Linked DNA regions of Diceros bicornis minor. The protein of the gene in region 3 binds, or shares a complex with, the protein of the main gene of each other region. Links are inferred from orthologs where the notes say so. Each region holds a gene or a part of one and is shown on either strand. Other genes may lie near its edges.

Region 1 (7,561 bases), on a different chromosome or scaffold from region 3:
TCTGCAAAGCACAGAGCTGTGAGTTCAGCAGGATCCAGAGAAAAATCTAGCCTTATTGTTACTGATGTGATAGTTAGTGAGCCCTTGACAGGTAAAGCATTGAACCCTGAGATCTAGCACACGCGCACCAACAGCGGGTTATCTCAGACCAACCCCAACGCCTTCTTTGACTGGGCTCGCAGAACCACCACGTGCAACAGCGAGCAGCTGGAGCTGGGTGACGGTGGGCCCCATTTACATTCCCTGGATTAGCTAATAGACTGAATGACAGAATCAGGACTTAACAGTTAAGTATAATACAGATGATAATAAGATCTTGTACTTGGTTTCAAAAACCCAATTGAGTAAACCTCAGATAGGGAAGGAAATGGTTTAGGAACAACAAACATAAAAATGTCTTTGAGTAAGCAGATAGCAAGTGCAATGAGAGATAACAGCGTGAAGTAGCTGGCAGAAGAATGAAGAAAAGCAGGCTTAGGGGCCGGCCCGGTGGCGCAAGCGGTTGGGTGCGCGCGCTCCGCTGCGGCGGCCCGGGGTTCGCTGGTTCGGATCCCGGGCGCGCACCGACGCACTGCTTGGTAAGCCATGCTGTGGCGGCGTCCCATATAAAGTGGAGGAAGATGGGCACAGATGTTAGCCCAGGGCCGTCTTCCTCAGCAAAAAAAAAGAGGAGGTTTGGCGGATGTTAGCTCAGGGCTGATCTCCTCACAAAAAAAAAAAAAAAAAAAAAAAAAAAAAGAAAAGCAGGCTTAGCTGCATGAAGAGAACATGGTGTCTGTGCTAGAGCAAAGGAGGTGACAGCTCTGTTCTCACCTGGGCTGGCTGGACTGGACTAGTAAGCATTATGTTGACCTCTGGGCAGCTCACTTTGAGAGGGTCTGCTAGTTATTCTCCAGCCCCCCTCCCCCACTATGATCTATTCTCTGCACTGCTCTGTGCCCTAAGCGAGCTGACCCCCACATATTGCATCACCCATATTCCCTAGTCCTTGTGACTTCCCGCTGGGTCCAGCCAATGGGAAACACCAACAAGAGATTCCAGGGCAAGAAGAGAGAGAACACGCAGAGTATCTCTTGTGCCCTGTCTCCCTGCTCCACCTCCACATCTCCCACAGTGGCTGTGTCCCTCTGCAGCTACAGTTCCTGCCAGGCAGCCCACCCTCCACAGCTCCAGCTCTCAATGGGTTCTGGTTTGCTCCCCTTGTCCCCTCAGGCCTAGGGGTGGTAAGAGCTTCCCACTGTCTGCTGCTGGCCCCTAGGTTCCTCATCACCCCTCTGGGTTCCCTTAACCCTGCCCACACCTCTCTACATAGTCCCTTCACTACTCTATTTTCAAAATCCCAACTAAGTTGACCTTCTGTTTCCTGCAGGGGTCCTGACCAAAACTGAAGAGTTAGGAGGCCAGCGGGCCATAAAATCATGTCTATGAGGACCAGCTATAGGAACAGAGGATGTTTGGACTGGTGAAGGGAAAACTAGGACACAGGCTATCCACTGGAAAAGAGTGAAGGCCACCCTCAGACTCATCCTCCCAGCTCCATGAATAGAATAACAGTAGATACAGAGAGATCAACTTTTTACTTTTACAATAAAGCAAACTTTTCTAAAGAGTTGCAAAGGTGGGGTGAGCTCTCCTGGGAGGTCATGAGCTTCAGAAATTCTGAGTTGCCCAGTCTGAAGCTAGAGAGCCCATATCAGGAATACTGTAGGAAAAAGTTAGAAGGGTAGTCTAGAAAAGGACTTTCCAAGCCAGGGTTTCATGATTTGCTACCAACTGTACACTACTCAGACAACGGTTTACCAAAATAACCACACTGGGGGGAAACATTTTTGGGGATCTGTTTTGCTGCTTTTCACATCAATATAGACAACAGAAGTCTAGTTCTTTGTGTCAAGTTCGATAATTCTCAACACTGAAGTTCTTTTTTATGCTTTAGGATAACTCAGAACATAAAACTTATTTTCCATCCCAGCATCATCGCCTTCAGAAGAGTTATTCCCAAACCACTGAGCAATCTATGAAAAAAATTTAACCAAACAACTTCTACCTACACATCCATCACTAGTGCTTCTTCAGAACTGTGACCTCATTTTTCAAACCAAAAACCAGGATGTGAAATCTGCCCATGGAACAAAATACTTTACATGCAAACTGTCCTGGAAAAAAATAAGATCGCCTCAATTCACCCTGGTGGGAAAAAGGAAATGGTTTTTGCAGGAGCCATCAACTCCTGAGTTCACAGAAGGGTCGCAGCGCAGGATGCTAAGTGTGTGTGTCTAATCCGGGTTTTCTCCTCTGGTGCAACTTGATCATTTATTACATGGCCGGATCATTTATTACATTATCCCTCATTCATTCAACAAACATTTGATGTTGATCTACTCATTAATAGAACCCTGCTGGGCCCTGGGAATGGACAAAAGATCCAAAGAGGCCAACGCTGCATCTGGACCTAAGCAGGTCTAGGAAACGACCTGATGGCAAAGACCAATGAAAGCGAAGAGTCAGAGTGACGGCGCCCAGAAAAGTTTCTGCAGAAACTTGGGAAATGCCAGCCTTCGGGGCGGAGAGGGCGGGGACTTGGGGCCTACGGGAGGACGCCGCCTCGGGCTCCTCGGCCCTCGGACCACGCAGAGCCGCCAGGCCCTGCGCGGACGTCGCCTGGTCCCAGTGCCGGGCTGTCCCACCCGAGCGCCCGGGCCCTGCAGCGCAGCGCCGGGCCACCACCGGCAGGGCGGCGGCGGGGCCCGCAGGGCGCGCACAGACTGGCACCAGGTTCCCGGGAAGCGCGCGCCCGCGCCGCCGCGCCCCGCTCCCACCGCCCCGGGCACCCGCGGCGCGCGCCCGCGCGGCCCTGCGAGCCCAGGCCCCCTGCCCCGGCCCCTGCCGCTCGTCAGGCCGGGCCGCACTCACCCTCCTTGGCTTTCTTCCTCCGGGCCAGAGTCCCTCCGAGTTTCCCCAAGAAGGAGTCATCTTTCTTCCGGGATGGGGGCGACTTGGGAGTGGGGGACTTGGGGACAGAGGGCGACTTCTGCGGGGAGGTGGCCATGGCGGGGGAGCGGGCAGCCGCGGGCCGGTCGGGACGCGGAGCTGGCGCTGGGCGGACGCGGCGGGCGCGGCGGGACTGAGGCTGCGGCTTTCCAAACGGAAGCGGAATTATTCCAAGCATTTGAGGCAGCTCACGCTCGCCTTTCCCTTCCCTCTCTCCCTCCCTCGCGCCGCCCTCCGCCCTGGAAGGAGCTGCGCGCTCCGGGCCCTCGCCCCGGCCGGTCCTGCGCCCCGCGCCCCTTGGCTGCCCGCAGCAGGGAGGGTGCCCCAAATCTGCCCCTTGCAGGACGTGCGGCATGATCAGTCTGTGTGCCCCTCCAGCCCGGGAGCCTCCTTTCCCCCGGCTCTGCACCCAGCACAGATCCAGGCACAAATGGGGGTTCAGTGATTGCTGAACCGAACCCACCTGCTCCTCTGTCTCCCAGAGCCTTCGCCCCGCCTGCTTGGTGAGGAGCTCGCGCTTCCCTTGCGTTTATTTCTACCTGGACATCTATTAGGCCCATGTCTTGTGCCCACAAAGGAGAGTGAGCCAGCTCTAGGAAGAAATAGAGTGACCCAAATTTGTTCAGGTCCTGCCAACTGGGCACATCCAACTGTTCCTGCACTTGTCCTCGCTGTCAACCTCCTCTTCACACCCATCCAAGACTGAGAAGTTTGAAGTCCGTGAGCGCAGGGCCGAGGCTTCTTACAAAACACCCCTGTGTCTAGCAACTCAATGGCTTGTACAAAGGAGGATCCCAAATATTGGTGGAAACATGATTTGGAAGGTACGCCGTGGGCTCCTGTGAGACACCCCCATCCCAAACTTATCCCGCCTAAATAAAAGCAACAGAGTGACAACCAGACTCATTTGGAGTAATAGGGAGAGGCACAAACCGCAATGTGTCAAGCACTCTTGCTGGAATTGATTAAAAGACACATTTTATTGTTCTTGCCCTCTTGAAGTTCTCACTTGGGATCTCCTGGCCGTCTCTCTTTCACACACACACTCACACAGCCCCTTGGCAACTGTGTTTCCTCCAAGTAGGTACAGCTGATTGACCCTGAGTGATCACCCGACCCAAAGGATGCTGATCCTTGACTGGAGAGCTGCCCATCAGATAGTGTCCATCAAGAATCCGGACTAAGCTCCAGACACTGTTGTCCAAAGTTGAGCACTTAGTGATGATCATGCAGACTGAAGACTGGGGTGTCAATGTCTAGCCACATGCATGCTGATGAGTAGAGAAACAAAAGAATGGAGCAAAGAGTGTGGTCTGAGTAATGAACAACCATGGGGAGTAGCTGCCTGGGCCTTGACTCCTTCCAGGTGCTCACTTATAGTGTGTGGGGGGGGGGGGTGGCGGGGCGCGCGGCCTTCCTAGGACGTGTTCCTAAAGCCTTTTAACAACCCATCCGCCTTTACTTGAGCTAAGCAGCAAAATGACAAGCAACAATTCCTGAGCACAACAAAAATTTAACAAACGAGAGGGACAATAGAGTCTCAGTACGTGTTCATTTTATCCTTGCTTAAGAGTCATAATTTTACCTCTTTTGAAAATTATACTTTAGCTGATGCCTCTGACCTAATAGAAAGCAGAGAAGTCATGATGACGGCTAGAATTTTCACCCAGGAGCAGGGGAAGATTATGACACGTGACCCCCACCCCCATCCCCAACTATCACCTTGATAAATCTTAAAGAGATGCTGAGAAGCCAAAATAGAATTGTGGGTTGATGACCTCATTAATCATTCTTGTTCAGATATTGGATACATAAGGACATCTCCAAAATCTGATCTTTAGCCCTGGGAACTCTTGCCAGGGACTCATGAGCCGCACAGCTCAGTAGCCATGTGATCTTGGGCGAGTTTACTCCCTTTTCTGAATCTCCATTTCTTCATCTACAAAATGAAGTGGTGGAGCAGAATGGTGGTTCTCAAACCTGATTATTCGTCACAATCCCCTAGGGAGTTTGTTACAAACATTCACAGGCCCCACCTCTAGAAACGCTGATTCGGTACCTCCGAGGTGAAACCAAGGGGGTGGGTATTTTTTTTGTGTGTGTGAGGAAGATCAGCCCTGAGCTAACATCTGCCAATCCTCCTCTTTTTTTTTTTTTTTTTGGCTGAGGAAGGCTGGCCCTGGGCTAACATCCGTGTCCATCTTCCTCCACTTTATATGGGACGTCGCCTCAGCATGGCTTGACAAGCGGTGCGTCGGTGCGCACCTGGGATCCTAACTGGGGAACCCTGGGCCGCTGCAGCAGAGTCCGTGGACTTAACCGCTTGTGCCACCTGGCCGGCCCCAAAGGATGGGTATTTTTTAACAGGGGCTACATCAGGTATAGGATTTCAAAGTAGCTGATCCACGCACTGATGTTTGGGCACCTAGAGCCACTTTCAGCTCTGACAGTCTATGATTCTCTATTCGTCACCAATTGCTGATATCTGTATGCAGGGTGTAGGTCCTAAATATGGCATGGTCAAAATTACACATAGAGATCTCTTAAATTGCTTGTGCACGCTTTTGTATATACAACCCTCTTTGGTAATTTTTATGCATACTAAAGTTGGAAAGCAACTGAGCAAGACTAACAGGAGGAACAAACAAAGGAAAGTCTAGATTGTTGAATGCTGGCTCCCAGAAAATACCAGCAAACCAAGCTGTAGAGAAGGTAAAACTGAGTTTATTGTATACCAGGGTAAGAAAAGCCCTGCCTTGGCAGTCTTAATAGCATTTTGGACTGGGGGAGGGCAAAGTGGGGATATTTATAAGGTTTTGGAATCTAGTTTAAGGCAGGTCTTTCAATGGGGTGATGCTTGATTTATTTTGGCTAAGGCTTGTGATATAGTAGTATAGGATCTGTGAACACAAGACAAGACAAGAGTAAATCGTCTTTTTAATGCTATCTATTGAAAAGTTTAAGGGTTTTATGTTTATTTCAATGAGATTTTGGGGGAAGTCTTTGAATAAAAAGAAGTTATTTGTAACTTTAATCTTTCTGTGCAAGAGTTTTTTGGAATAGAGTTATGTTGATAAAGATAGGGGAATGATAAAGTCCCCCTAATGTAGACAGTAACCTGTATGGGTGTGAGTGGTTTCCAGGGTCTCAATATTATGCAGATGTCTTGTTATTCAAACCTTTCTGCCTCTAAGATAATTATCAATCTCTCTTGAAAGGCCAAGGGGGGATGGATGGTGAATTATAAAGTGTAGCCTGAAAACCAGTATTGATCTGCAAACTGTTATCGGTCCTCAATGATATAAATATAGAAACTGAGAGTGTTTAGAAACTTTTATAACAATTTAACAGTGCACTTTTTATATTTGTTTAATTTGATAATAAAAATTGGAAGCTTATATTTTGAATGTCTTTTTATTTTTCTAATAATTCTTTTTTTATTGTATTTTACAAAATACTGATCTATGATGGATTGGTCGTTCACCATAGATTGCTTAAAAAGCACTGTTCTAAATTGCTCCGGTTTGCTTACAGAGTTTATATACTCTCTTTTGATGTTATGCTTTTATAGTCGTTATGGATGTGAATTGACCTGGTGTTTGTTCAGAAGAGTAAATGAGATAATATATAGGAAAGCACCTTGCACAGGGCCTGGCACTGAAGTAGACTGAATCTAAATCTAGCTTAATCAGCGACACAAACATGCTGTTCTTTGATAAGCTGCAGAGAAGATGGATGCACCAGCTCCCTCCAATCTAAATTGGTATTTACAATTATGGCCCCACTGATGAGCAGCCTTCTCATGCTTGGTGGTTGGTGTTATGCTACCCAAGGGTTAGATGATAAAGACAGCTCATAAGTTAAATGTGTGTAGCTGTGAACCTCTGCTGAATCTCTAGGCCAGTCTGTCCCTGAAATCTAGACCTTGGAGTGAATTACCCAGTTCCAGTTCTGGCTCAGTCCTGGCTAGGTGACCTTCGACAAATCTCTGTCCCTTGTGTACTTTTATTTCTATTATCAGTAAAGCAAAGCCAAGGCAGTAGTATCTACTACAGCTGAACATCACACATACATTATGATCAACAATTTCAATTCTAGGTTACACTCAACAAAAATGACTAAATTTGTGCACCTAGATACATGTTCTAGAAAGTTCATGGTAACATAATTCAAATGCCTATTAACAGTTGAATCAGTAAATAAATTTTGATAATTACACAATGGAATATTATACAGCAATGAGAATGAACAATTTGCAACTACAAGCAGCAATAGGAATGTATCTCAATATAATGTTAAGTGAAAAAAATCAGACAAAAGAGGATATACTCTATCATTCTAATCATATAAAGTACAAAAACAGGCAAAACTAATCTGTGATATTAGAAGTCAGGATAATGATTAGCCATGGGAGAGATAGTGACTAGAAGGGGGCAGGGGCAGTGGCGGGAGGCAAGAGGGAGGCTACAGGAGCTAGTAATGTTCTGTTTCTTGACCTGCGTGACTAGTTACATGGGTGTATTCACTTTGAAAATTCATGGAGAATGAACTTAATAATTCGAGCAATTTT
Region 2 (6,927 bases), on a different chromosome or scaffold from region 3:
GTTAATTTGAGCCATTGCTGGTCAGAGTCGCCCTCATCTGGTCTTCAGGGAACTGGCTGGGATAGCTCAGGGTGAGGTGGCCACAGGCTTTTTCTGGACCCAGTGGAATCTCCTGGCACTTCAGGCATTCTTGTGAAGAATGCCCCAGGGAATGGAGGGGGCCAATGACGGTTTGGGGCTAGGAGATGCCCAGGATATGGGTTCTACTTGAAATAATTTCCTATTAAATTTCAACTCCATTTAATGGGAGGAATTTGTTAAAAATCTGCCACACACTCACCAAAGGAATACTAACATCATTAATTTTATTAAGAAAAATGAGAGCTAATATCTATATAACATTTGCTCTACACCAGGCATCATTCTTATGTATTACTCACTGAAATAGAATACTAAGAACCATCAGCCCCATCTTATAGTTGAGAAAAATGAGGTATGAAAAAATTATATAAAACTTGAGTGACAGAGCTGAGATTCTAACCTTGGCAACCACCCCAGAGAGTGCCTCCCACCCGGCCTGAAGGATTAGGTGTGAACTTATTAAATATGACAGTCAAACTATCCTCACAGATCTATTGAAATTATTAAAAAAGACTGACACTGTTATATGACCTAGAAAAAATTTTAATGTAATTGCTGTTAGTTGAGTAAAAACTTAAAGATTATACAGCATTAAAAATAATGTTAGTGAAAGAAAATTTTTTACTTGTTGAGATCACACGTCACCCCATGGCTGTCAATTTAATGGAGAAGTTATTGGAAGAAAAATGATATGATAATTCTTCTATATTTGATGAAGAATTTGCTTTTCAAATTTTAATTTGATAATTTTATTTATATGTCACTTAGTAAGTCGTTTATTATAAATATGGTTTAGGGAATAAAAAAGGCTTTTTTTTTTTTTTTGGTGCAGATCTTTGGAAAGATTTGCTCTGGCCTAACATCTGTTGCCAATCTTCCTCTTTTCTCTCCTTCTTTTTTCCCTCCCCAAAGCCCCAGTGCATGGTTGTATATCATAGTTGTAAGTCCTTCTAGTTCTTCTATGTGAGCCACGGCCACAGCATGGCAGCTGACAGATGAAGTGGTATGGTTCCATGACCAGGAACCCAAACCCAGGCTGCTGAAGTGGTGAGAGTGCCAAACTTTAACCACTAGGCCATCAGGGCTGGCTCAAAAACAGCATTTTTAGAATTAATGATTTACGAAATAATTTACGTGAATTTACCAGTAGTCATAGTCTGGCGTGCCTCAGGTGGACCAGGCATCTTCCATACCCTATCTTTGATTGGCTCACTCTGTGGGCGGAGGGGAGGCAGTGGTAGTACATTCCTTCTAATTTTGAAGTATTGAAGCACAGATTCTATCTCAGCATAGAGCATTTGGCAGTGATGCCGTGGCAGGGTTTTATGCTCTGATAAATATTGACTTCTTGCAGGATTGGCTACATAATTTGCAGGGGCCAGTGCAAAAGGAAAATGCAGGGCCTCTTGTTAAAATAATTATTAAATGTTTCAAGCTGGTGACAGCAGGGCATTAAACCAAGCATGGGGCCCATCTAAGCCCGGAGCTTTGTATAACTGCCTAGGTCACATACTGAGGAAGCTGGGCCTATTTCCATGTTATAAAAATCGGGAATTTAGGGACACATTTCCTTCAGAATAGCACGGGTATAAGTGAAGAGTCTGAGAGGAAAATTATCAGGGAGTGAAAGCAAATTTCTGGAAAACAGGAAGTGAATGGAAGCATGCTGACAAACGAAACAGAAAGAAACTGCAGCCCAAAATAATTTCCAGAGAGAAACGCAGCAGAATTGGGACTCTACTTTCCAGGTGTTATCTGACGGGGCTGGCAGGTGCAGGGTGAAAGGGTGAGCTAGGAAGTAACAGAATTGTATAAGTGGCTCAGAATTCACAATTTCCCTCCACCAGCAAAGGCAGCCTTGTGATTACAGGCAGCTGTAAAACTGGGCTCTCAGCTCTCAAGAAATTTAACCAACAGCTCAGGGAAAATTAATGCTGACCCAGGAGGGAAACAAATACAGATCAACAACAGATGAGGAAAGAAACCACACCAGCTATCTAGAAAAGTCAGCTTAGACTTCATGCTTGAATATGAAAGGACAACCCAGAATCAGCAGACAGAGGAAGAATTACAGCAGCATGAATGGGAAAAAAATCTAGGTACACACATATAAAAAGGGACACTTGAGGAAACATAATTTAGTAAACAGAGAGAGGTCTACAAATTGTTATCCTCAGAGATATTTGAGAAGAGAGTGCATTCATGAGACAAAAGCAGGCTGCTATTGAACAAGAAAGAGGACTTAGTATTTTTTGTTAATAGCCAAAATAATTTTCAAAAATTTAATAAAAGATTTGGAAGATAAAGTTGAGATAATATTCCAGGACATTAAGCTAAAAAGACTTTTAAAAATGAAAAAATATGAGAAAAAAGATAACTGTAGCAAATCAGCCCAGGAGGCTGCCATCTGACTAACAAGATTTCCAGAAAGAGTGATAAATCAGAGAAAATGGCAGGAAAGAAATTGCAAAGCAACAGCAGAAACAATTTCCAGGGAGGAAGAGAGAAATGAATCTTCAGCTGAAAAGGACCCCAGGAGTGCTAAACAGATTAAGTGGAAAAAGACCACCAACCAGAGATATTATGGTGAAATTTCAGAACATGATGAATAATAAAAAGAAAAATTACAAATGTTTCCCAAGAGAAAACAACAGTTCCCCGCAAAGACTTTTGAGGAGACCGACACATTTCTAGGCATTAACATTGGAAGCTGAAGTCAGTGGAACTGTGCCTTCAGGATTTTAGAAACTCATCTTGAACCTAGAATTCTGTGCTAGACAAATGAATAAAGGTATTGGCAAAATAAGGACATTTAAAAACATGTAACTACTCAAAATTTGTGCCTCCTACGCACCCTGTTAGACAAAGCTACTTGAGAGGTACTCTAGCAAGATGTAGACAGGAAATGCCAGTTTCAACCCAGAAACCAAGTGAAAAGAAATCACAGATAGCCACTCAGCTGCAAGGACAGAAAGAATCAGTTACAGCAGTAAGTTAGTGGGTTCCTCAAGTCCTCAGGAAGAATTGATTGGATTTCAAGCAATGGAGAGGAATGAAAAGCGGCAAGATCTTAGGCATAGGGTAAAGAAGGTTACAAAAAGAAAAAGAAAAGCAGTTAGACACTCTAGTGAAAAAACAATGAAAATCGTATAAGGACATTATCATTCAACAGAAAGCAAACTAAAATATGGTATAATTTTGAGTGCAGTGTAGGAAAAGAGGTCATTTATTTATCCGACCATGCTCCCCTTCCTGTGACACAGAGGTCCATGATTGCGAGCTGGGCGCAGGGGACACACAGACCACCACCGAGTTTTCGTCGTAGAGGAGCTCATAAGGCAGCGGGAGGCACAACTGTGGAGAAAGGATTCAGGGTAGCAACTTCTGGTAAGTGGAGCCACACTCACAGAAGCAGGACACCGACAGAAATGGACTCCAAACTTCCCCAGGACCTAACCTCAGCTACAAACGTCCCTCCGCAGTCGCTCCCCCAACTTCCCCGCTTCCGCCCACAGCACTGTGCGCTTCGACCTAGGAACTGAGCATGCGTCAACCTAGTGCGCACGTGCTCACTCCGGTCCAATCGGAATCCCGAGCCCCGGGGATTCCAGGGGGCTGGACTAACCTCGGGGTGGGGCGGAGTCTCAAGGCCGAGTAACGGACGTGATTGGTCGGCCGCAGGGTACACATTCTTTTTAATGGGCGGAGCCTCGCCCCTGAGCCACGTCTAGTAAACTGTTCTCCTAATTTGGGAAGGGTCGGGGGCGGGCGGGGCGTGGAGCGGAGAGCGGCGCGGTGTGCGCCTGCGCCGAGCGCCGGGCCAGGGCGTGTTCCTCGCTGGGGTGCGCGTTTTGCTCAGTTACTGTGCATCTCCTGCCGCTGAAGTGCGCCCTGCGGAAGCCGGCCGCTCCCGCGCCCAACCTGTTAGGTGCTGCCCTCCGCGGTGAGTGTGCGTGCCATTGCACTCGGGGTTGCTTCTCTCCGCGCGGCCGGAGTGGTGCTGGACCCTCCCCACTCCCCTGCCCCGCCCTGTCCCATCCCCCTCCCTGCGCTCGGACTCTGCCCGCTGATGCCCACTTTCCAGGGCCAGGGCAACAACAGAAAGTGCCAGCCAGGCTCTCTCCTTTCTATCCCTGCACCCTCCTGGCCGTCGCTCACGTGCTTTGTTGTTGTCATTTGGTACAGATCATGTCCAAGTCTCTGAAAAAGTTGGTGGAGGAGAGCCGGGAGAAGAACCAGCCGGAAGTGGACATGAGCGACCGGGGCATCTCCAACATGCTGGACGTCAACGGCTTGTGTAAGTTCTCGGGCAGGACCTTCCCCTGGGAGGAGCTGGAAGGGTTTGTAAGTTTTCCGAGTAACTGCCAAGTCGTGGTATGAGAGGTTGTAATGGGTTACATCCCACCCCTGCTTGTAAACACCCCTTGTCAAGAGCTCAGCTCAGAAAGTTTGCAGTCAGAATCTGTTCTGTTCCCACTGGAAAATGAACATGAGAGCTGGGATAAGAACCACACAGACTGTTCCTGCTGAACCTCCTCAGATGTCTGTGCTGATTTATGGCATTTGGGTGGCTTTTCCCCACAGTTTACTTAATACCCACTTTATGTTTTAATTAAATCATTTTTGAATCATTCTTCTTTTCGCCTAATATAGTCTTTGGCCCTTGAACAAACGCCACACAAAAGTTACATGATAGGTATTCTTGTGCCTGGAGTCTGTTAAACGTTTCTTGACTCGTTACCTTTTTCTGGATCTTTATTCTCCTAACTTAGTTCAGGCTTTTGTAATCTCCTGTTTTGTTATCTCCTGCTTGTGCTATTGTGATGTCTTCCTAACTTTCTCTCTCACCTCCAGTTTTACTGCCCCTGTAGTTTAGTCGCTGTATTGCTTTCAGTGTTATTTTCCTGTAACACATATTATTGTGTTACTCTCCTTTAAACCAGGGATTGCAAACTCAAATGCCTGCGGGGGCCAGGTGAGGATGGTCACGAACTCCATAATAGTATCCCATCTGAAGGGGTAGCTGCTACACCTGCTACTCAGATCCAAACACTTGTCACCACCTGGGGACGTTGGCCCAGTGTTGTCAGATTTTTTTTTTAAGAAGCCAAGAATCCACATCAAATTTCCTGATTTTTAGAAGTTGGCAACTAATTCCAATATTTGAAAAATACTTTAGACGTGAAACAAAACACTTCTTCAGGCTGAATGTGGCTTCTGTTTGGACCTTCTCCCTTAAACACTCCTCCTGGTTTTCAGTACCAACAGTCATGCCCCAGGTTCCTTGACGTGACATGCAAGGCCTGTCTGAATCTGACTACACTCTACCTTAGCTCCTGTCCCTTCCATGCATTTGGCGTCCCAGCCATACTGAACCCATTGCCTTTCCTGAACCAGGGTGCACTCTTTGGGGTCTTCGTGCCTTTACAAGTATTGTTGCTTTGCATTCCGCCTTTCTTCACCTGAAATGCTTTTACTTTATCTGTGAAGGGTCAGCTCAGATGTCACAGCCTACGTGAAGCCTTCTCTGTCTGTAGCAAGCAGACACAGTCACTCCTTCCTCTGTGAAGTTGGATGTGCTTTGCTTCATGACTCTTGTTACAGAGGATTGTAATGCATTCCTAATCTAAACGTCTCTTTCCCTTTGGGAGACTGGGGGGACTAAAGCTGTGCAATATTCACGTTTGCTGCCTTTACCATAGTGCCTGGAACACAGTAGGAGCTCAGAAATGTGTGATGAATGAAGGAAAGAAGGATGGATTAGGCCTGCAAGTTTATGAGATCCAGACTGGGATGTGACACTGGAGGAGAAGAGGAGGTGTCCAGGAGACCCTGAAAGATGATGGATTGCTTGTGAGGCATGGAGAGCACGGAGTCAAATTTACTGTGAATCCCTGGTTTGTGCCTGGGACAGAGATTGGGGTTGGTGCTGTCGATACATCTCAGCAGAAGGAAAAGGGCTGAAAAGCTTAGACGATTTGTGTTTGGTAACCCTTAGGAAGACACCTGCCGTTAAACTTAGCTTTTGTACTAATTAGCATCTCAGCCCCTTGGGATGTGTTGTCCTGTCTCCGTGGTGGTTGCTTCTCGGTGGCAGCAACAGAGCGGATGTCTGGTTCTGAATTGGCAGTTACGAATCTGGATGTGTCCCTGCGCTGGCCTGGCTGGCTCTGCTGTGGTCGTGATGGTCATCAAGAGCATTCTGCAGTAGAGGAAGAGGATGGCGAGCGGCAGGCAGGAGGCCTGGCTCAGCTGTGTTCTTGGCCTCATGGCTTTCTGCTCTCAACTCTGTTTTTCTCATGGGGTTGAAGAAAGAGGTTGCTTTCAGCAGAGGAACTTTATTCTCCTCAGCTTTGAAGAGGACTCTTTATGTAATATTTAGAAGTAGTGGGAGTGTGGTGTAGCTATTTCGGTTCACTTGCGTTATCTCTTTGAAGCCTTGGCTTTTATTGAAGAAGCAAAGATAGCCACTTGCTTCCTGAAAAAGATGTTTCCGGTGTAATATTATTTGCTGAAAAGCAAGATCCTTCTTAAGTTTTCTGAAAGAAGCGGCTTAAGGAAGAACCACAGTGCTTCTGGGGAGTTCGTGGAAGTGAATTTGGAGATTCTGCCTCCTCTGTAGTGTGTGTAGACCCAAGGAGTGGCTACTTTCTCCCATAACTCCCTGACTTCTGGACTCTTGGAGCCTGGAGGGTTCCAGGGTGCCTTCAGAAGCCCATTCCTCAATTGGGGCTCATTTATCAGTACTGTACATAATGCTTACTTTTTTTTTTTTTTTGCTGAGGAAGATTCACCCTGAGCCAACATATGTGTTAGTCTTCCTCTACTTTGTATGTGGGTCGCTGC
Region 3 (7,613 bases):
ATTTTGTCATCTCAAAATCACTGTGAGCTAGGGAGAAAAGTCCGTAAAATTCTCTTCTTCACCGGGCTTTGCCGTAAGCCAGATGGACTGTGGCACTTTTAGCAAAGCTCCTGTGAAGATTTGTGATTCTCCCTTTCTTTTGACCAAAATTCACAGATGTCCATTGATGAAGAATGGTAAGCCCACATCTGCCCCAATAGTTCTTAGTACTGTTTGAGGATAAAATAAGAAAAAGTATGTAAAACCACTTTGGAAACCAGAAGATGCTACTCAAATATAAAGCATTATTATTAATTTTAAATCCTCTCAAAAGATTCACCAAATTCTCAATGATTTTAATAGAACTCTAAAAAAGCTGGAAAAGAAGAACATTCTGGAATGTCCTGATTCATGATTACCTAGATCAGTAGTTCTCAAAGTGTAGGGGCCACCATGACCCTTTCAGGAGTTTGGAAGGTCCTCCCCTTTTCCAATTACATCTCTGTGGGAGGCCATATTTTCTTTATATACTTTATCTAAAAAAATGTTATAATAGGATGACCACAGCAGCAGATATGCGAAACTGTCTTTTATTAAGACAGACATTAACAAGATTTGCAAAAATGTAATACAATGCCACTTTTCCCACCAAGCTTTTGTCGTTTTGGAAGTTATTTTTCATAAAAAATTAATATTTATTCAAATATTATTAATATATGAGTTTATTGTTATTTTAAATTAATAAATATTTTAAAATTTTCTCAGCTTTATTTTCTAATACAGAAAATACCGATGAACAAAACAAAAGCTCTCTGGGGACCTCAATAATTTTTAAGAGCATCAAGGGGTCCCAAGATCAGCACATTTATCACTGACCTGTTCATACTCACTATATTGTAGACTGTTTATATTCAAACTCAAACAGTCGAAGAGTCAGAAAATAGGTAGACACATTACAAAATCAAGCATATAAGTTTTTCCCACAAACAGAAAAAATAAACTAGTTTTAGAGATAACATAATATGTATTTTTGAAGAGGTATTCCTTTTAATAACAAGCAGGAAAAGAAAGGAAACAGAACATTAAAGGAAACTTTCAGGAAAAAAACACCAATAATCTCACCAACATAGTGAACTGTGTACATTTCCCTTTCCTCTCTTGTCTTTGACCCTCTGGCACTATGTGTGTTTTTTTTTTAATAGACTATGTTTTAGAGCAGCTGCAGGTTCACAGCAAAACTGAGCGGAAGGTACAGAGACTTCCCACATCCCCCTCCCCGCAAATGCAGGGCCCCGCATTACAACATCGCCACCAAAGAGGTACATTTGTTACAACTGATGAACCTATATTGACCTATGTGTTTTTTTACAGTTGATTTTTGTATTTAATACTATATATGATAGAAGTTACTTTTTTAAAGTCATGAATGATAGTTATAGCTGTCACTTGTTATAATTAATTGGCTAATTTTTCAGAAAAGAATTTTCACTAAAAAGTGTTGCTGACAGGAATACAGACGTCGGGGAGTATAGATAGGTAAGAGCCTTTAGTAGCGACTCTTCATATCTGGCCAGTCATAACTGATTTAGCTGATCCACTTCCACAAATCACCTGAACACAGAAAACCTGAGCTTTCGTTACTCAAGTGCCTCATTTATCAAAGTATGTGAAACAAATTTTCTGGCATTAAAATGCAAAAATGTGTAAATCCAAAAAGCATCTTGAGAGATCACCAAGTATTTTGGCTATAATATAATTATAACTGCCCAATTACTCTTTTTTTTTTAAATAATTTTATTTATTTATTTATTTTTCCCCCAAAGTCCCAGCAGATAGTTGTATGTCATAGTTGCACATCCTTCCAGTCGCTGTATGTGGGACGCGGCCCCAGCATGGCCGGAGAAGCGGTGCGTCGCACCCGGGATCCGAACCCGGGCCGCCCAGCAGCGGAGCACGCACACTTAACCGCTAAGCCACAGGGCCGGCCCCAATTACTCTTAAACAGAGCTCTGTATGAGTCGTGAAAAGAAATGACATCTGTTGCAATACGACACAGAATGGATTAATGGAAATAGACAATCAGGTCAAGTTAAATTCTCTTTAACTCTTAATTGACAAATTAGGGATTTGCAATAATTCCAAGCATATAGCTTTGAATAAGGTCAACAATCTTACAAGAGTTGGTCTAAATACTACTTTGTAATATTTAAAAAAAAAACAACTGCTAAAACCCATCTCATAATATGAATTAGACTAACTTTTTAGAGATAACGCCATGTTTAATTTACATGTACATATTTGCTAGTTACACAACATCCTTATTTATTCAGTCAATCTCTTAGAGACTGTATTAAGAAAAACCCAGTTAGCCTACTTCAAATTGCTGGTTGTTAAACATAACAAAAATGTGCATCTTTATCAATAGTCTGTAATTCAGTTTTTCACTGTTTCCCTCAACATGCATCTTATCTACGGGAAGTTTTAGAGTATAAAATTTTTCTATTACAAATCCTGACAACAAAAACTCTAAACCTCCCTCTTCGACTATCTAATGAAAATGTGCTATTATCAGGAACCTACTAAAGACCAGGACATGACTACTCTTATTGAAAGGCGGCATTTTCCTTCACATGTGCATTTCAGGCCCTGGAAGTTTACAGGAGGCGCAACCTGCCTGCCTGCCGGAACAGGCTGCCCGGGAGCAGCCCCGAGAGGCCCCGGCCCCTCCTCTCCCTGGGAAGCCCCTGCTGAAAGTCGCGGAAATAAAACTGCAAATGGCTAGTGAACTGAAAGCCCTAGAAGCTAGATGTGGAAGGGGGGAACTCCTGGAGAGCGGACACTTACAATTTCGCATAAAAGTCACAGAACTCCTTGTAGACTTGCACGTCACTGTGTCTGCGCTGCAGTTTCGACACAGCCCTCTCGTCTTCACTGCCATTCGCCTGGTGGACACTGGTAAGGGCTGTCTGGGGTAGTTCTTCATTCTCTGGGATGACATAGGGGCGCGCCCTGCCCGGGAACGCCATCCGTGGGTGCTTGAGAGCTCGGAGCCCAGGGCAGAGAGCAGCGGGAGCTGGACAGGAGTTGGAGAAACAATATGCAGGAGCCCTGCTCCCTGCCAGGGTCACTCCCACTGTTCCCACACACGTCAGCCCCAGGCCTGCCAGGGTCGCTCCTGACCCTTCACGTTAAGAGCTCCAGCAGCAAAGCAGTCACTGGGCATAACAGTCTTGATTTACTGAGGCATTTTGGAAGCTCTAGAAAACATTCCACGAAGTTGTGACAGTCTTCGCTGGAGCGGCCTTCCCAGTGGACTGTGTCTGTACACATTACTACAGAAACAGAGGGCTGCTTGGTAGGCTCCCAGAGAAAGAAACATCCAAGTCTCTGGGTATCTGTCCCACTAACACTGTGCTTCTCCACTTTGGTGGGCACAGGAATCTCTCAGAGAGCTTGTAAAACACTCCCAGCAATTCTGTGTTTCTAACAAGCTCTCTGGTGAGAGCAATGTTGCCGACACACTCTGAGGGGCATCATAATGCCCAGGGCATGCTTGCCAGCTAGGCCCTATGGCTGCCTTCCCCCAGGAGTCTGAGAGTCCCCGAAATTAAGAGTTACATTTGACTTTTATTTATCCTAGCACTTGGCACATAGTAAGAGTTCCATACTGTGTTCAACGAACGGACACACAGGGAAATACGGAAGAACTGGAGTTCCCAGCTAATTGTGTGACTTAGGTGAGCCAACGTGTCTTGGTCTTTATCATGACTAAGGATGCCACTGGCATTCTGCTATACCCACTCGACACTACTGTCGTCTTACAACAGTATTAGCCATGAAGACGATGATGATGCAGCACCACGGGCAATACAAGGGTCAGTGTCTTCTCAAGTCTCAGTCCTCTCAGTACCAACGTGCCATCCCACCAACACCAAGGTACCAAGGGGCATTGAGAAAGGAAATCTAGGGAATAGGTAAAAGGTACATTGACCAACAGAGCAGATCACACTCGAGATACGAGAGCCATGAAATCAACAGCAAATAGATCAAATGCGCTGAGGCTCTTGAGTCATAACTATGAATAATGAATGACGCCTAAGTGTTAGTAAGTGCTTACTATCATATCCCAATAAAGTAGGTATTATTTACAGATGAGGAATAACTAGTAAGTATGTGGTGAAGTCAAGATTTAAACTTACGTAGTCTGATTCTAGATCCTAGATCCTATGTTGTTTACTATGCGAGCAAATGTTAAAGGTAATTGCTGGAGAGCAAAATAGGTTAACTAGAAAAGATTAGGTAGCGGGTACAAAAATGGGACTAGAAGCAGAAAATGAGATCCAGTCTTCTCATTCTGAATCTTACAGATTTCAGAACACAGGTCAGAAACTCAAAGGCTGTGGATCCTGCCCAGGCCTGAGGCCTGTGGCTGATGGAACAACAGACTCACCATTTTTAAATATTTAAATGTTTAATTTTTTTTTTTTTTTTTTTTTTACAATGACCATGGGGACCAGAGAGAGGAGGCAGCAGGCATGGAAACATCCACACAGACACGCACACACACACCCTCTGACTCTGAGACCAGAAACACAATGCACTGAACTAGGTTAGGTAGCATGGTCGGAAGTGGGGAGCCATACGAGTCTCCTGCCCAGAATACTTCTTCTCTCTTAACCTAATTATGTTAAGAGAGATATTCACATTTCTACTTTACCTAAGACACTCCTCTTTCCAAAACTCAAAATCAATCTTTAATTATCTTTAAACTTCTCTATCTCAGTATACTGGGACCTAGTCCATGAACATAGGGACTTGCCCTCCCCAGGGAGAAGGTTCGAGACAATGACTTGATGGTCAAATAGAAGGAAGGAGGCCCACCACCACTATGCTCTCAACAATAATCCTTCCAACTTGCCAGTCTACTATTAGCTTTCAAGAATTAATTTATCCTGCATTAAAAAATAAACAAGACTAATATTACCTTCTCAGAGAGCTTAAGTGACTTGCACAAAGTCACACAGCTAGTAAGTGCAACGTCCCAAACTCAAATTCAGACGTCTGCCTCCAATGTTTTTGTTTGTTTTTTACCTCTTTATAAAATCCATCCTGGGGCCAGCCCCGTGGCTTAGCGGTTAAGTGCGGTCACTCCGCTACTGGCAGCCCGGGTTCGGATCCTGGGCGCGCACCGACGCACTGCTTCTCCGGCCATGCTGAGGCCGCGTCCCACATACAGCAACTAGAAGGATGTGCAACTATGACATACAGCTATCTGCTGGGGCTTTGGGGAAAAAAACAAAAAAAAAAAGGAGGAGGAGGATTGGCAATAGATGTTAGCTCAGGGCCAGTCTTCCTCAGCAAAAAGAGGAGAATTGGCATGGATGTTAGCTCAGGGCTGATCTTTCTCACACACACAAAAAATAAAATAAACAAAATAAAATAACATCCATCCTGTACTGGTGCTTCCAGTAACTGATATATTTGTCCATGCCTAAAGAAAAAAGCTGTCAGGCTCTATTTGTTTATTTTCCTTACAATATTCTTTACAGTTCTTAATCCATACTAGGTCTAGTGATTGTGAATCATGTTCATTCTCCTGCCAAAAACATCATCAGATCCAAAATATTCTGCGACACTGAGGTAATGCTACTTGGAGACACCAACCTACAGGGCAGAACACAGAAGTAGGTACGGGGAGACTTCCCTTTCCTTTCAGTTCAAACAGTATCCAGGAGAGCAGGACCCAAGCTCTCTACCTTCCTTTAGCCTCACTTAACATGCCAAAAATGTCACCTCCAGGAGGGGAGGAACTTTGTCTTGTCCATGCCGGTACCCAAGCATCATGAAGAGTCCACCACTCTGCAGATGCACAGTAATTATCTGTTGGTGAATGAACTGGGGCTAATAATCCATCTACTTGATCTAGCAAACCATGAAAACAATGAAAGCAAATTAGTTGCCAGTCTGCATTTTGAGTCAGCAGGAGGTCTAAAAATCTAACTAATTATCTTCTTTACTTCATAACAACTGGTTTTATTTCTACCAGATAGAAAAGTAGAACTAAGAAAAAGCTAATGGCTCATGAGCATATGACACAATGAAGTCTCTTATCTGCCAAGGAATTAAAAATAACATGAAAGGTCTGCAATAAAATTTTTAACTTTTTATTCTGAAATAATTATTGAGTTGCAGGAAGTTACAAAAATTGTACAGAGAAGTCCTTTGTACCCTTCACGAAGTCTTCCCACTGGTTGTATCTTATGTAACTGTGGTACGACACCAACACCAGGAATCTGACACTGGCACAATGTGTGTGTACAGGTCTATGTCATTTCATCACATGGGTAGATTCATGCAGCCACCACGCCATCAAGATGCAGAACTATTCCATCACCACAAAGATCCCTCTCATGTTATCTCCGATAGTTGCACCCACCTTTTCCCCACCCTGCCGTCTCTAACCCCTGGCAACCACTAATCTGTTTTTCATCCATATAATTATAATTTAGAGAGAGTTACTGCTATGGACCAAATGTCTGTGTCCCTCCAGAATTCACACGTTGAAGCCTAATCCCCAATGTGATGGTATTTGGAGGTAGGGCCTTTGGGAAGGTGATTAGCGTTAGATTAGGTCATGAGAGTGGGGCATTAATCCCTCTTGCCCTTAGAACAAGAGGAAGAGATACAGAGGACTCTCTATTGGCCATGTGAGGATACAACCAGAGGCGGCTGTCTACAAGCCAGGAAGTGGGTCCTCATTAGACACCTTGATCTCCTGGTGCCCTGATCTTGGATTTCCCAGCCTCTAGAACCCTGAGAAATAAATATTTGTTGTTTAAGCCATGTAGCCTGTGGTATATTTGTTATGGCAGCCCAAACTGACTAAGACAGTTACATAAATGGAATCACACAGTAGTGACCTTTTAAGGTTCACTTCCTTCAGTCAGCATAGTGCCCTTGAAATCCATCCAAGTTCTATATATATCAATAGCTTCCTCCTTTTTATTGCTGAGTAGTATTCCATGGAACGGACATAACTCAGTTTGTTTAACCATTCACCCACTAAAGGACAGTTAACTAGTTTCCAGTTTGGGGCTGTTGTGAATTAAGCTATGCACAGGTTTCTGTGTGAACATAGGTTTTCATTTCTCTGGGATAAACGTCCAAGAGTGAAATTGCTGAGTTGTATGATAAGTGTATGTTTAGTTTTTTTAAGAAACTGTCAAACTTTTTTCTAGAGTGGTTGTATCATTTTACATTCCCACCAGCAGCAATATATGAGAGATTCAACTTTTCCACATCCTTGCAAGCATTTGGTATCACGATTATTTTTTATTTCAGCTATTCTAACAGGTGTACATTATTATGTACATGTATTAAGTTTATATACATACAGATTAGTACAAAAAGAAGTCAGAACTATCCACCAGATAATCATATTGACAAGAAGGAAAAAAGAGTAATACATGTATTTGGGAAAAAATTCAAACACTACATTGAGTTATAAAATGAAAAGTCAAGTCTTTTAATAGTTTGCGTATGTGTGTGTACGTGTGTGTTCTACTAATCTTAACCATCCCTTTGATGAAACTAAAGAGCTTACTAAAAGAATGATTTGATTTTTGGTCACCAAC

Evidence for each region.
Region 1: LIMS1 (region 3) and PARVA share a complex: the UniProt entries of both Homo sapiens proteins name them as parts of the heterotrimeric IPP (ILK-PINCH-PARVIN) complex. The link is inferred for Diceros bicornis minor from reciprocal best matches to the Homo sapiens genes LIMS1 and PARVA.
Region 2: the proteins of LIMS1 (region 3) and RSU1 are in contact, whole or in part, in a crystal structure (PDB 7LT9), measured with the Homo sapiens proteins. The link is inferred for Diceros bicornis minor from reciprocal best matches to the Homo sapiens genes LIMS1 and RSU1. Residues at the interface, in NP_001180417.1 of Homo sapiens: Cys252, Phe253, His254, Cys255, Asn256, Leu267, Asn268, Lys269, Ser279, Thr280, Cys281, Asn282, Thr283, Glu293, Phe294, Asp295, Met296, Lys297, Cys303, Lys306, Phe307, Pro308, Glu310, Leu311, Arg314, Leu315, Lys317, Leu318, Ala319; in NP_036557.1 of Homo sapiens: Asp21, Ser23, Asp24, Gln44, Val46, Ser48, His49, Val67, Asn69, Phe71, Asn72, His90, Asn92, Met95, Glu112, Asp115, Thr117, Tyr118, Arg137, Ala138, Tyr140, Ser142, Asp143, Ile161, Ser163, Arg165, Asp166, Glu184, His186, Gln188.

What each region holds. Positions count from the first base shown.
Region 1 is NC_080746.1:70,670,555-70,678,115, reverse strand, and holds the start of PARVA (alpha-parvin), read right to left. Parts: upstream 3,102-7,561; 5' UTR 3,050-3,101; coding exon 2,914-3,049; intron 1-2,913. UniProt on the Homo sapiens protein: Plays a role in sarcomere organization and in smooth muscle cell contraction. Required for normal development of the embryonic cardiovascular system, and for normal septation of the heart outflow tract.
Region 2 is NC_080775.1:17,074,503-17,081,429, reverse strand, and holds the start of RSU1 (ras suppressor protein 1), read left to right. Parts: upstream 1-3,903; 5' UTR 3,904-4,024; intron 4,025-4,266; 5' UTR 4,267-4,269; coding exon 4,270-4,378; intron 4,379-6,927. UniProt on the Homo sapiens protein: Potentially plays a role in the Ras signal transduction pathway. Capable of suppressing v-Ras transformation in vitro.
Region 3 is NC_080779.1:5,228,462-5,236,074, forward strand, and holds the start of LIMS1 (LIM and senescent cell antigen-like-containing domain protein 1), read right to left. Parts: upstream 3,021-7,613; 5' UTR 3,006-3,020; coding exon 2,824-3,005; intron 1-2,823. UniProt on the Homo sapiens protein: Within the IPP (ILK-PINCH-PARVIN) complex, binds to F-actin, promoting F-actin bundling, a process required to generate force for actin cytoskeleton reorganization and subsequent dynamic cell adhesion events such as cell spreading and migration.